Tamandua tetradactyla: one gene and its partner. The protein of the gene in region 2 interacts with the protein of the main gene of each other region in a pairwise test. Links are inferred from orthologs where the notes say so. Each region holds a gene or a part of one and is shown on either strand. Other genes may lie near its edges.

Region 1 (7,082 bases), on a different chromosome or scaffold from region 2:
AGAGGGGCTGGTGGTGGGGGCCGGAGTTCCACCACTTCCTCTTTCTGCTGTCTTGGGCCTCCTCCGGTCCCAGCGTCCTCTGGTGGGAGGGGGGAGGGCACAGAGCAGCGGTTCTGCAGGGTGTTCAGAGACCTGCCCTGAGCCCCCGCCTCCTCCTCCTTCGCGGCCTCCCATTCTCCAGCGTCTACCTCAGGAGGTCCCAGCCTCTTCTCAGCAGACTCTGAAGGTTCTGGTTTCTGCTTTTGAGTCTCTATATCCCTGATTGTCCATTCTCGAGCCTTCCCTGAGTTCAGAGTCCATTTCCACCCTTCTGTCAGCCTCAAACTCCTGTCGCCATCCTCCACTGGGCTTGGCCTCTGTTCTGTGGCCTCCACGCCTCTGGGACTGATGTCAGAAACCTCTCTGGTCAGGATCTCTGAGAGTCCTTTAATCTCTTCTGGTGTTATCCCTGGAATTGGCCTCTCTTCTTTTCTCCCACATTCCTCTGAACAGTTGTTTTTCTCTTCTGAGGTCAGTCTCCACTCTGATGCTTCCAGCTGTACCAAGCTCTCTTCCTGAGACTCTCTAGAGTCAGGCCTCCATTTATGGGTCTCTATCAGACCCAACTTCTGGATACCAGGCTCCCCGGGGCTCAGTCTGCTTTCCACCACCTCTGTTCTCCTGGGGCTTTGCTCTTGAGGATCTGCCAGTCTCAGACTCCGCTCTGGAGTCTCTCCAGGGCTCAGTCTCCATTTCTGCACCTCTAATAGACGGGAGCTCTCTCCTGGGCTCTGCCTCCAGTCCCGAGCCTCTGAAGGCCTGGGACTAGACTCTCGGGCTCCCCCTATACCCAACCTCCTCTCTCTGGTCTCCCTGGGACTGAGCCTCTCTTCTCTGGACTCTCTTCCTTTGGGGCTATGATCCCGAATCTCCCCAGGGCTGGATCTCCGCTCCTGGGCCTCAGCAGGCCTTCTCTCTGCAAGCAGCTCTTCAATCCGCTGCTGCTGCTGCTGCTGCCTCTCCTGTCGGATAAATCGATTCTGATGCACTGGACCGATGGCCTCCAGGAGGACAGCAGACTCGTCTGGGTCTGGAGGTCCCGCCTCTGCAGTTTCCGGTGCAGGGCTAGGCTCCCCAGGGGCAAGCCCAAGCTTGGCCCTGCGGCGTTCCAGGAGCCCCCTCTTCCAAGCTGGCATCTGGGAAAGGCGCTCCCTCTCCGCCTTCTCCCGGCCACGCACTGCTGCCTCCTCTTGCCGGCGCCGGGCTAACAGCTGTAGTTTCCAGTCGGGGATGGTGGTCATGGTCGCTTTAGGGTGAAGGTGGGAAACTCTGGGGGCAGAGGACAGGAAGAAGAGTTGGTGAGAAAGGCCCCGGGGGAGAGAGGGGGGTGGTGGTGAGAGGAAGTGGGGGGGGGGTAAAGTGGGAGACAGAGAAGAGGACAGGGACTGAGGGTGAGGACAGAGGGAAAGAGGGGAAGGGTAGAGAAAGGGAAAAAATTGAGAAAGTGCGAATAAAAAGATATGTGCCAAGTTGGGGTGGAAGGGAAGGGAGGTGAGAGGAAGAGTCGAGATTCTGGGCAAAGAGGGAGGAGTCAGATTTGGTAGCAGAAGGTTAAAGGGTATTTAAGTTCGGATGTGGGAGAGAAAAGGGAGGGTAAAAAGATAAGTTGGGGTAAAGGAGAGAGGCAGATCAGAGAAAAGAGAGGTTGGAAGTGAGGCGGGGAGATTGCTCAGGAGAGGCCGCCTCACCGCTACCCCGGGGGGAGGTGAGAGTGGAAACCGAGGTTAAAGAATCCCGCGAAAAGGGAGCGACGGGACCTGAGTAGGGGGTGGGGATGGGTATCCGGGAGATGAGGAGGGGTCTGAGAGTGCAGAGGTCTAGGGGGTAAGGGGAAATCAGGTGATAGAGGGGAAAGGCGTTTCAACGCGGCCCCAAAGCTCGCGGCTCCCCTTCCAGCTCCGCGCGGGCCACGCCCCTCGGCCCCCACCCCCCACCCCCCCCCAGCCCCGCACTCCGCCCCCGAGGCGGGCCAGGGGAAATACCCTCCCGGGGGACTCTCCGAACCCGGTCAGCGGATCTGCCGGCGTGTTCCCAGAACCCAGGTGTCCACCCCCACCCCGTTGGGTCACCACCGCCTGCCTCCCCAGCTGGCCGCGCCCGGGGGACCCAGGCGTGCCGAGGACGGGCTCCGCGCCTCTTCCCTCCAGATCCAGCAAGTCCTGGGCCCCGGTCCCGGCTCAGGGAGCCCGGACACAGCCGCCCATCCCCACCCCACCCTGTCCACCGCACAGACAAGACAATCTCGGCACAAAGAGGAGACAGTCCGAGGGCCGGGCCGGGGACGAAAGCGGGCACCGGGACGAGGAGACACTCTCTCCCCAAGTCTGAAGCCCGCAAATCAACTCACACGGCCGCGGGGCTCCCGGAGGAGGGGGATGCGGAGAAGTCAGGCGTCCGGAGAGGAGGAGAGGAAGAGGAGGAGAGAGGGAGAGAGGGAGATCCGGAGACGGGAAGGAGGGGAGGAGGGGGAAAGGAGGAGGGAAAGAAGGAGCAGAGGAGGAGGGACGAAGACAGAGACCTGGGGGCCGGGCGGGGGGCGGCGACCGCTTTGTCTGAGGACAATGGGGAGAGGGAAGGGGGTGCGGAGCGGAACCAGAGGAGGGGGCGGGGCCTGGCTGCCCCAGCCCGGGCGGTGGGAATTCGCTTCGGGTCTCCCCTCTTCCCGCCCCAACCCCTGGCCCTCAGCTCTCTGTCCTCTGGGGTCCTCACCCACCCCCACGACCCGTAGCCCTGGAGGCTCCAGTTCGCCGACCCAGGGCGGCGGCCTGTGACTCAGGCCCCTCGAGGGACTTGGGGAGGAAGCGGCAGCTGCTCTGAGCCGGGCCCGCCCTTCCCATCTCCCGCCGCTCCTCCCCACGCCTTTGCCTTCCCCGCCAGCCTTTGTTACTGTGGGGTCGAGGGCCGCTGCCGCCGGGCTGTAGGAGGCCTGCTGGAGACCGGGGTAGGGCGCGGGAAGGCGGAGAGGGAGGCGCCCAGAAGCCAACGGCTTTGGAAGCTCACTCCCCTACCAAAGTCGCGGTCCCCTCTTTTTAGCCTCAAATCGTGCCCTATGCGTCCTATGGTCTGCAGCAGGGGAATTGGGGGCGCTCCAGAAAGGTGGGGGCCGGTCTGCGGGGAGTGGCCGCCGCCCAGCGGTCGCCTCAGGGCGCGGTGGCCGCCCAGACCCGCGATTGGCGCGCCCAGGTTCCAACTCGCTTTCCTTCCCAAACCCAGCCCTGCAACCTGAGAGCCACTGACAGACAGCACACCAGATGTAGAAGTCAGGCTGAATTTTATTTTACTGCAGCACGTGTTCCTTGGAAGGGCGGGGAGCCTTAAATCACTGGAATTAAGAACCGGAGAACTCCTACCAGGTCGCCGGAGGTGGAGGTGGGCGGGGCAGGGGATGGAGGTGAGGCTGCCAGGCTCTGGCCCAGCCTCTTGGGGGCAGAAACAAGAAGTGGAGAAGGGGAGGCACTGAGGCAAATAACTGTGCCAGGGGAGTGGTCAGGAAGATATTTTCCCTTGTGGTGATGCTGGAAGGAAAGGGAATCAAGCGCTAAACCTTGAGGGGACAGATGGGTTTCACGCCCTCTCTTCCAGGCTGGGGAGAAGTGGACCTACTGAGTCCAGTAGCTGACACTCAGGATTTAGGGTATAGAGTTGGAGCCTAGCTAGTGGAATCTCAAAAAGGGGAATGGACAGTCCCTGTCTAGCATTTGGATATTAAGGAACTTAGAATTCAAAGGGAGAAGATGTACAGGGCTTAGAAACAGAAGTTAGCTCCTCATTCAGCCTCCCCATCCTGGGGCCTGGAGAGTAGGTGGAGTTTTCTTTTTAGCTGGGCCCGGAGGTAGCAGAGATCCTGCTGGTCGAGCCCATGAGCTAGGCCCAGGTAGAGGGTGAGGAGGAGAGCAAGGAGGAGGCGGTCGGCGCCCAGGGTAGGCACCACCCACAGCACAGTCAGGAGCTCCACACACACTGGATGGCGCAGGTGGGAGAAGAGTCTCAGAGCTCTGGGGGACTTCAGGGACAGTGGCTCGCCCAGCCCTAACACATGGTAGTACACCTAGGAGAGGGACAACAGCTTAGAAATGAAGTCAAGCCTCTTTCTCTACTTAGCCCCCTTTCCCTCACCTCCTCCTAGAACTCAGGCCCAGATACCCGGCCCCCTAGCCCTCACCCTTCTCAGACTTGGGTATCTCTTGGGTATCTCTTACTTCTCCACGCCCAGGAGGACCATGGCTAACCTTTGATGGAGTGTTGAGGGAAGACTATTAAAGGAAAGGGAAAGAGAAGTGAGGGAGTTGCAAGCAAGGGGAAGGCGGTAGAGCTTGGAAGAAGGGGGAGTGAAACCCTTGAATGGGGAAGAGGAGTTTTTGAAAGGGGCAGAGGCCTTGGGTAGGGATCTAGAAGCTTCACCTGTTTGAGGCCCATGAGCTCAGCGTAGTCAAAGACGAGAAGGATGCTGAAAATGAGGAGCCAGGAAATGACGTGGAGCACAAAGCAGAGGAGGGGCACCCAGGTAGCCCACGGCTCAGCCCGAGCTTCCCATAACACAGGACCTCTGGGTACAGGCTCCCAGTACCGCATCACCAGCTGGGGAAGGATGAGAAGTTGGCATTCCAGCAGCCTGCTCCTGAGAGACTCAGACTAACCCCCACTCCAGGATGGCCTGCAGCTCTCCCCAGCCCCCATCGCGAGCATCACCAACAAATATTAACCATGGGGCGGGGACTGGGTGGGGTCCCAAGGATATAAGGATAATCTGTCTCTACCAAGAGGATTTACGGAATAGGTGGGGATGATCAGAGACAGATACGAAGTAGCCTACACCAAGCACTCAGAGAGAAGGCACATGAACACTAACTGGGAAGCCTTTCCTTGAGACCTAGGGAAATGGGTAGTGAAGAACCAGTAGAACTGAAGAGGATTTAGGGATGGGGATCCCAAGCAGGGGACAACAAAAACAAAGTTGCAAAAGTGAGAATGCACATATTGTGTTTGGGGAAGGACATGCACACCCTTCTAGATAAAAAGCAGGATATTATGCTGTGGAGGAATGAGAGCTGAGATTAACTGCTGAACACCAAATTTCATCCTGAAGCCTAGGGTTCTTGCCCCTCCTACCAGGCTGCCCCTCCCACAGACTGTTCCCTTAGGGAACTTTGCTGCCAGGCTCTCATACCTGCAAAGCCAGGGCAGTGCATGCCACATACAATGACCTCTGCAGGACCCCAAAGTACCAGGACGTCCACGCCTTCACTGTCTCTGTAGCCATGAGGCTATGCTGCCCCACAAATAGTAGTAGGAGCCCCAGATTCTGAGCCAGGGGGGCAAGGATGCTGTGGTCCTGCAGGGCAGCCAGCCATCCCTGGCGGCCATCTAGGGGGTGTGGAGAAGAAAGGGACAAAAAGATCAAGAAGATTGGTGGGAAATACCTCTACTCTCATCTCCTCTTGGGGTTGGGGATTGGGGGGTGGGGGGGTGGACAATGTCCCGTAATGCTTTCCAGAGCCTTAATGCCTCCTCTCCAGGCCGTGCCCATCTCACTTTTCCATTCCCTGTTTCAACCCTCTTCCTCCGGCCTCGTTCAAAACCGGGGAAGAGGATTCACAGAAAAAAAAACGCATTTTGGGCAGTTACTAAAGGCATGGATGGAAGTTCAGCCCTGTATTGCCCCTCTTATTTCAGTTCTCCAAACGCTACCTCTTTTGAACACTCTCCCCTTTACAAAATCCTTTTCTTAGAAAACGCTAACAAGACTTTTATCGCCCTTTCCCATTCCTCTTCCCTCCCGGCCTCTTCAAACAGCTTATCCCCAAATTCCAAATTTAGTCCTCTGGTCCTGCTCCCCTGCAGCTTCATCGCGGCTTTCAGGGTAGCATTGCTCCTGCGGACTTCCCCTCGGTCATTTGCCTGCAGGCCCCGCCCCGCGCCCGCTCCTCCGGCTCCGCCTCCCTACCCCCAAGCTCGGCCTCGTCCCTCCCGCTCACCCGGACCAGACTCCGGGAGCCCGCCAAGAAGTGGCCGAAGGGAGGTGAAGCGCACGAACTCCACTCCAGTGCCAAAGGCCAGGATGAAAGAGGCAAGAGCAGCAGGGACCAGGAGCAGTGCAGGGGCCATGGCGAGAGGTGGAGAGGCGGGGTAAGGGGCGGGCCCAAGATTCCCGCGGCCGTCGGCCCCGCCCCCGCGCGGTATCCCGCCCAGGAGGGCGGAGTGCCTGCGCGCAGTCGTCTGGGCTTCCGGCGCGTCTCGCGCCGCTTCCCACCACTAGGTGGCAGGGCTGGTGCTGGAGTGTTTTGCCAGAGCCTGTCAACTTGGCGTCCGCAAAGGGTAAGATAGATACTAAGTGGAAAGTAAAAAAGGGCAGCGGCTCTTCGGCCAGTCGTGGGTTGAATCTCAGCTCCGTTACGTTTTCCATCTAAAATGAAGACATTTCCTCTCTTGCATGGTTGTGGTTGAAACAGCACACGCAAGCCTCCTTCTCTTTAACTTAGCCTTAGCTAGAAAACAACCAGAGTCAGAGGTTACAAACCTGGGTTGGCAGTTTAGTAATGAACAAGGAGAGAACAGAAGATTGTTGTCCCAGGCTGACTGTCTGAGAACCCAGGCTCTGAATCACCTATTGTATAGTGTTAGAATAAAAAAAGTTATTATTCTATCACAAAATAAATTAATGCTTATTCTGTAACTTAATATAAAATTGAGTTGTTACTCCTCCACTTTCTAAGAATGGCCAATAACTCATATGTGATACTCAAAGCTTTGTTCTCATAGTTCTGAAGACTGTTGGCTTGTAACCATGAAAGCCAAAATACGTTATCTGTGAGTGATTTGAACAGTGAATAAAAAAGTATTTGCAAAGTCCCCTTGGGGAAATGGTGAGAAAGGGGGAAAATTCACCTTCCCCAAGTGGAGAATTCTTGATATTCTCACAAGCAGTGGGGACAACCAAAGCAATAGGCTGAGCCCTCAATCTTGGGGTTTGTTCATATGAAACTTAACCCCAGAAAGTATAGGCTAAGCCTACTTAAAGTTAGGCCTGAGTCACCTCCAGAGAA
Region 2 (7,287 bases):
TTTTCTTACTTTAAGGGAAAGCCTCTAGAACTTTGCTGGCCAGGGCCAGACCAGCATCTCCACTGTTGATGTGTAGCTTGCATCCTCTAGTCACCGCAGACTTAAAGATTTGAATTATGTACCTGATTTAGATATGTTCTTGATCTTAGTCTGCATTCCTGTGAGTGGGAACCTACTGAGAATAGGATGTTATTTTACTTATGATGTGGTCCAACTGAATGAAGTTGGGTCTTAATCCTGATTACTGTGTCCTTCCTGGGCAGAAGAAATTCACATTTATTCAGAGAAAGCCATGGGGAGGACCCAGAAGCTGGAAGTCAATGGAACCCGGAAGCGAGAGGAAAGGACAAGACATCGTCATGGGATGCAAGTCAGGGACACAAACCAAGGGACCCAAGGTTTGCTGGCAGCCAGCACCAGAATGTTGCAGACTTTGTAGAAAAAGCATTGCCTTGTGACACCTTGATTATGGACTTCTTCTAGGTTCAAAATCATGAGCCAATAAATTCCCATTATTGATGCCAATACCCTGTGTGGTATCTGTGACAGTAATTCAGGAAAGCTAAGATAGCTTCTCTACCTCCAGCCTCCCATCCTTGTTCAAAGAAGGAAGAAGGAGGTGAATGGAAGAGGGAGTGTCAACCATATCAGGAAAGAAAAGTTTTTGCAAACATGCCCATTTTATCAGCTAATATCAGCTAATGTTTACTGGCAGAGCTGTGCCACGTGGCTAAGCATATCTGTATGGGGAGCTGGGTAGTGTAGGTTTTTTTTTTTTTTTTTTCTGACAATGTTGTCCAAACAAAAAACAAAATTCATTCTGTAGGGAGGAAGGGGAGAAATTAGACTGGGTAGGAAAGTAGTATCCACAGGGAGGACCTAATATATAAAATGAATTGCAATCAACTAAAAAAAAAGTGTCAGCTCTTCTTTGGTACCTACTAAGTGCTTTAAGATATCGTGAACTTTTCAACAAATTAAGAAACCTCAAAGGCTGAATTCTCTCATCTCTTTTTCCTGTGCCCCCACCGCTTGTTGTGGAGTATGGAATGTTAAGATAAGGTTGTGTGTGTGTTTGTGTGTGGTGTCAGTGCAGCCTTTGAACTAGGATAGAGGCACTGGATAACTTTGTTTCCCTAATACCCGTGGGTCCCATGATATATATATATATATATATATATAAAATATATTTATATATTTTTCAGCATGGGCAGGCTCTGGAAATTGGACTCAGTCTCTGGCATAGCAGGTGAGAATTCTGCCACTGAGCCACTATTGCACCACCTGGTCCCATGATATTAATCAACAAAAGTTTTTAAACGAGAGTTGGCAATAAGAAATAATAAGCAGTTGCCCTCCTACGCTTTTTGAACCAAAGGGAAATAGGTCATGGGGAATCAATAGCCTTCACTTGAGAAAGCTACAAATGAGACAATGCTTCCTTTTATAGGCAATTTTTTACTCATCAGTAATTTATAAATTTGCCAGTAAAATATTGATATGGTGAGTCAAAAACCTGATCAGTGTGGATTCAGAAGAGATGGGAGGCAATGAAGTGGAGAGAGAGAGAATCAGACAATTCTTTCAAGTTTTACTATAAAGTTGTGTTATTTGAAGAGTGAAGAAGAGTGGGAATTCAGGAATGACAGATAGGTTTCTAGCTTGAAATACTGGGTGGGTGGTAGTGTCATTATTTTATATTGAGAATACAGGACACATAGAGGTTTTAGAAAATATATAATGGGTTTAGTCCTTGGAGATGGTAAAGAGAATTAAGTGGTTCCTAGTGAGTACTCTCATGAGACAGAAATGCAGATCTGAAGCTTGATAAACTGCTTTGGGCTGGTCATGTAGATTTGGGAATTGTATGTATGACAAAAGAAGCCACAAAAACAGATGTGATCACCTGAAGAGAAGATGTGCGTAAGAGAAGGACCAATGATAGACGCTTGGAGCTATTGCACCATCAAAAAGAGAGGCTAGTAATAAAGGATGGTGTTCAGGACCTGAAATGGTTAGTAAGATGGAAACATATAAATCAGAATAGTGTTCTGGTAACCCAAAGAATGTTTTGTGAAGATAAAGCTGTAAATCTAAAACTGTTTAAAAATAAAGTTTATTATGTAAATAAGCTAGCTAACTAATTAAGTAGGAAATCTTCAGAGATTTAGACCAGTAAGAGTACTGGAAATAGGCCACTGAACTAGACTCATACCACTGGAACTACTCTGTAACTTTACTAAAAACAGAGAGGAACAAGTTTGGGGCAGGCAAACAACTCATGAAGACACTGCACTGGTTCAGGCAGAGTATGCTGGTGCCCTGAATCACTGTAGATGGCAGTGGAAAGAGAAAGTACTGAGTAAATTAATGAAGTAAAACCAAAAGACACTTACTGGACATAGAATAGAAGGAGTCAAGGATGACTTCAGGAGTTTTCTTTAAGAAATTGTAAGATTGGCTTGGCCGTATTGATATAAGCACAGCAGGTCCATGGAAAAATTGGTGACTTCAGCTTTAGACTTGTTCACTTTGACATATCTATGGTATTTTCAAGTAGAAGTGTACACTGTGCAGATATATGTAAGTGTGGAACTCTCTGAAGAGGATTGGGTCCAACTGTAGATATTTGGAGTCTTCTGAAAAAGAGATGGCAATTAAAATCACCAGAGGAGGATATGGATTTAGATGAGAACAAGGTATTGATGTACACCAAGGCATGAAAGGAGAAAGGGCACCGCTAAAGAGTGAGAAGACACAGCAAGACTGGTCAAGAGGAAGACCAAGAGAGTATTGTGCCAAGAGAGGGAGTTTTCATCAAAGCCAAGAAAGGAGTGTCTTCTTATAGACTGGTGGTCAACAGCATCAGAGGCTGTGTAGATGCTAAGAGGACTGAGGACAGAGAGGAGTCTATGAAGTATAAAAAAAAAGTGTTTTTTTTTATCCCCCTGTGTGGTGTACGTGTGTATTTTCAGGAAGAGGCATCTTGGTGCAGTGATGGGGGTTGAAAGTAGATTAAATAAGAAGAGCGCTCTTTCAATCATTTGACCATGAAGGACAGGAAAATGGGACCTGGAAGTGAAAATGAGATCAAGGGAAGCCTGTTTTGTTTGTTTTTGGCTGAAGGATTTAACTGTGTCTAAAAATCTCATTGGGAAAATCCAATCAAGAGGGAGCATTCAAAGATACAGGAAAGCTGAGAAGATGGGAGAAAGGGAACCTGAACTCCAAAGGACTGATTGTTTTATACCAAGAATGGTCATCCTTTCCATGGCATCAGAAAAATCAGGAGGGAAGGTAGCTATTCAGAAGAAATAGATGATAGAATTGTTAATCAATGACGACTATTGGGAGAGGACATATATTCTGTCTTTCCAATGCTGTTTTCCTGCTACTTAAAAGAAGCATACTGGTTTCTTTTCCTCTGCCCTCTCCCTATTTCTTTGAGCATTTTCTATTGTTGGTTTTAACCAGGGAAGTTTTCTTTTATGTGGTCTGCCCTCACCCCTTCATCAGTACACTTCCTGACAGCTGAGTCATGTCACTGGAAAAACTACTCTGTTTTTCCCCCAGGGAAAGCAGCCAGAGAGCTCTCACTGGAGGCCCTAGAGACTTGAATTCATAATTCCTGCCAACATGACTGAGATCAAGTGTTTTGACATATAATTTTTGAACCATGATTTGCATATGTGAATATTTTATTAAATGCTGTTTCTTTTTTCCTTTTTGCTGGACAATCAAAACAAAATTAGATCAGGCACATTGCATTTTCTATTATTTCTGTGATCTGCAGTATAATCTTGCTTTAAATCTTTTGCAGATAAGATACTTTAATAGCTTTTCTTTGTTTTGGCATTTTAATTTTTCTATTACAAGTTTTGCCTATTGTTAAACATGAAACAAACTTGTGATTAAAGGTACGGGTCGTTTCTTCCTTTTTCACTCATAGCACATAGTGTCAAATGAATTGAATGAAAAAATTTGGATAACCATGCTTAGTTAGGAGACATTAAAAATGATTTTAATTTGATATGTTCGCTTGTGTTCCAAAAAAGGGTGTTAAGGTATCGGTTGTGATAAATCTTCATAACCAATAGGAATCCTTTTTTGAGTTTCTGTGGAGTGGCCTTAGTTTAGGAAATAATCTCGTTGGCCAGGACCCCAGAGCTATACAGATGAGAAAAGGATGCAGGAAATTCTGTTGTTTACACATGTGTCTGTAACACTGAGACGTTAGAGCAGCCCAGCAAGCCCAGAGGGTAAGAGTGTTTAATAACCTTGTGGTTTTCTATTTAATTTTTATACTTTCCTGCTGGGGTAGAGCATGTGTTGTTTTCTGAGCAAGGAAAAAGACAGTTGCTTATAAGAGGCGGAACAGAACTGCTGTTGGTCTGTGAAACAGAAGGATTGGAATTTCTTTTTAAAGTGGACTTGATCTCATCCCTTACCTTTCCTTTTTTTCCCACTGTTGGTGTTATTTATCCTGACAGCATGTTATATATTTCCTGCCTTTAAAAAATAACTATATGCTAAACAAACTCAGGTAAGAATTTCAACTCTAAATTTAGACAGTAATATAATATGTTGCTATTAAAACCTTGTTTTTAGTTTCAAATGATTAAGGGTTAATAAATGTGTTTGAAGTAATCTGTATTCTTACAGTAAAAAAGTAAAATTGTTATGTAAATCCTCATGTTCATGCTCCATGCACTGAGTTATTTTAATTTTACTATCCTCATGTTGAATTCTTGTCATTGTTAACAGAAAGCTATACTTCAGATTTAGCACTAATATTGATTTCTATACATAAATAACTTGGATATGTGGAAGAGACAGGGATACAAAATAATATCCTACACATCATCTATAGGAAATGGACATTTATATAGAAAACAACTACAGAAATGAAGGGGAAAAATGCTGGAAATCATTGGGAAGTATTTGCTGATGGTTTTGAAAAATAAACTATAACATGAATGTTGAGTAGGTAAGTCTATCAAGTGGAAATATAAGGAAAATATTTTTAAGACAAAAAAATTGCAATTAGAAATATGTAAATAGCATATGACATTGAATACACAATGATGTGCTGGCTATTTTCAGATATATCAACATTGGTTTTTCTTTTTTTCTAAAAACATGGGGATATGTTTTTGATTATCTTTTTGATGGGAGAGGGGTGTTGATAAAATCTTTGATTAGATTTTTTGTGAATAAATCCTTTTGTTTTCAATAAATGTTCTCACAGATACATTAAAATAATCTTGAACTTTGACTTTTTTCCCCATATAAAGGAATCTTGAAAAGCTAGTGATATATTAGATGTATAAACTTCATGTGATTTTGCAACATCATTTTAAACCATTAAAATCTGAACAGTGTTTAGAAAAATTCTTTGTTTTTTGAATTTTTTCAAGAACTCTTGAAGAAATAGTTTTCTTATGAAATAACAGATCATTTCATCATCTCTCTATTGCGTTCTTTATATGTTTACATTGGATTCAGTAATTGCCTGATTGGGGGTGTACCTTCTTGAGAACTCAAATTGACTTGGCCTCAAGTGACTTTATGAGGGTCTTCATCTAAGTCTTTGAGTGACAAGGATAATGCCAATAACTCTTAAAAACATGAAAAATGATCTCAGACCATCTTGATTTAAGTATCATTTCTCCCATTTTGTTATTACAAGGTAATTGGACGCTGCCATAAGGCCAAAATCTTCAAATATTCCCTTTTAGCGTGGATTTTAGGGCTAGAGAAATTTGAGAAGCTATGAAAGAGAGGTCTGACTTCTTGAGGTGAGTCTTGAAAAATCAGTGGAACTTGTATAGCTGATGAGAAGGAAAAAGAATATTCTACTTTGGTGAAGTAGTTAGAGAAAAGGGTTTGAGGCATGAATTTCCATAAAATGGGGAAAGATGGTGAATGATCAGCCGGCTTGGAGAAGAAAATATATATTTCTGCAGTAGCAGGCACTGTGCTAAGTAGCCCGAATGGGGCAAATTTGTGGAGTGTCTTCAAATATACACAGCGTAACTGTCTTTAGATATGAAGTGCCTGTTCCCCTTTTTATCATCATCATCATCATTATGAACATACTTCCCATCTGCAAGTTGACTTGCATACATGTGCATGTTGATTTACATATGTATACATATCTACAGGTTTTATAACTGTGCAGTAAACTGAACATTTCACACATAATCTTCATCTGACACATGAAGGAATCTGTTCAGACACATTAAATGATTTATTTAAACCCACAACTGTAGTAAGTTTTGGAGCCAGGACTCAGAACCATGTCTTCCTGGCTGCAGAGCTACTTTCACTCTACAGCTCTGGTGCCTGAGTGTGAACCTGGCAGAAGTGAAGCGGACTGGTTTGCAATGAGTCTGGGGTAAAAGGGAGGAGGCACAGAGGCCACCATCTGAAGGTGAATCCCAACCCTTGGTAAGTCTGAGCTAGTCACAGTTCTCCGAAGGGGTCCACTACTCTCTTTGGGAAAGAGAGAGAAGTTGATACTGGAAATAAGGAGAGGCTTTTACATTTAAATTAGCTGCTGCAATATTCAACCCTTAGGCTTTTCTCTTATTTTCTTAGATGTTGTATTCAAAGGAGATCTCTTTTGCTGTCTCAACAACAACAAAAAACTGTCTATTATTGATTTTCACTGAACATTATTCACAAATGAAATCAATGAAGTGACTGGGTATGATACTGGGAATACTTTGGGAATACGTTGGTCTTCCTTTGATTGTTTATCATGCTTGATACGAATGAAGACTTAGTGACCATGTGCTCCTAAAATTAAGGAGGGACTAAGTTATTATCAATGAAAAGTATCATATATGCTTTATTTCAATTGGTGAAGAGTATATATAAAATCTGTTTGCAAAGTACCTAATACAGATTATGAGGTATTCAAAGTAAAAATAATATAGTCTATTAACACTTTTCCCCCTTACATATCCAAACCTTAAACATATTAGTTTAGTTTTTCTCAAAGTAAAATAGGACTAGCATCAGAAACAGCAATCAGTTTCTTCTTTTATGTGTCTTAATGTTTCTAATGAAACAAAAATATTGCCTTACCTTACTATATCATGGGATTTTGGGATATATGTGTGCATGTGTATTTGTGTGTTCATCTGTGTGTGTGTATATATATATATAAATGTATATAATACATATATATATAAAGGATTTCAATGCCATCATGTATAAAACCTGCTATCTATTATTTAAACGCCTTCTGTAAGTTAATTAGCCTTCACTGGAGGAATTCAT

The links. The genes of interacting proteins can lie anywhere in the genome.
Region 1: the proteins of CCDC102B (region 2) and PPP1R18 interact in binary tests that used the Homo sapiens proteins (3 or more experiments, as listed by UniProt). The two-hybrid records come from large-scale screens. The link is inferred for Tamandua tetradactyla from reciprocal best matches to the Homo sapiens genes CCDC102B and PPP1R18.

Annotation. Positions count from the first base shown.
Region 1 is NC_135331.1:85,574,062-85,581,143, forward strand, and holds the start of PPP1R18 (phostensin), read right to left. Parts: upstream 3,014-7,082; 5' UTR 2,927-3,013; intron 2,793-2,926; exon of another isoform or gene 2,753-2,792; intron 2,545-2,752; exon of another isoform or gene 2,387-2,544; intron 1,309-2,386; 5' UTR 1,281-1,308; coding exon 1-1,280. Other genes in the region: NRM (nurim), read right to left, coding at 3,806-4,087, 4,441-4,617, 5,207-5,403, 6,015-6,144.
Region 2 is NC_135344.1:13,477,652-13,484,938, reverse strand, and holds the start of CCDC102B (coiled-coil domain-containing protein 102B), read left to right. Parts: upstream 1-4,267; 5' UTR 4,268-4,526; coding exon 4,527-4,543; intron 4,544-6,085; exon of another isoform or gene 6,086-6,450; intron 6,451-7,287. UniProt on the Homo sapiens protein: During interphase, forms fibers at the proximal ends of centrioles to maintain centrosome cohesion. During mitosis, dissociates from the centrosome following phosphorylation to allow centrosome separation. Contributes to CROCC/rootletin filament formation.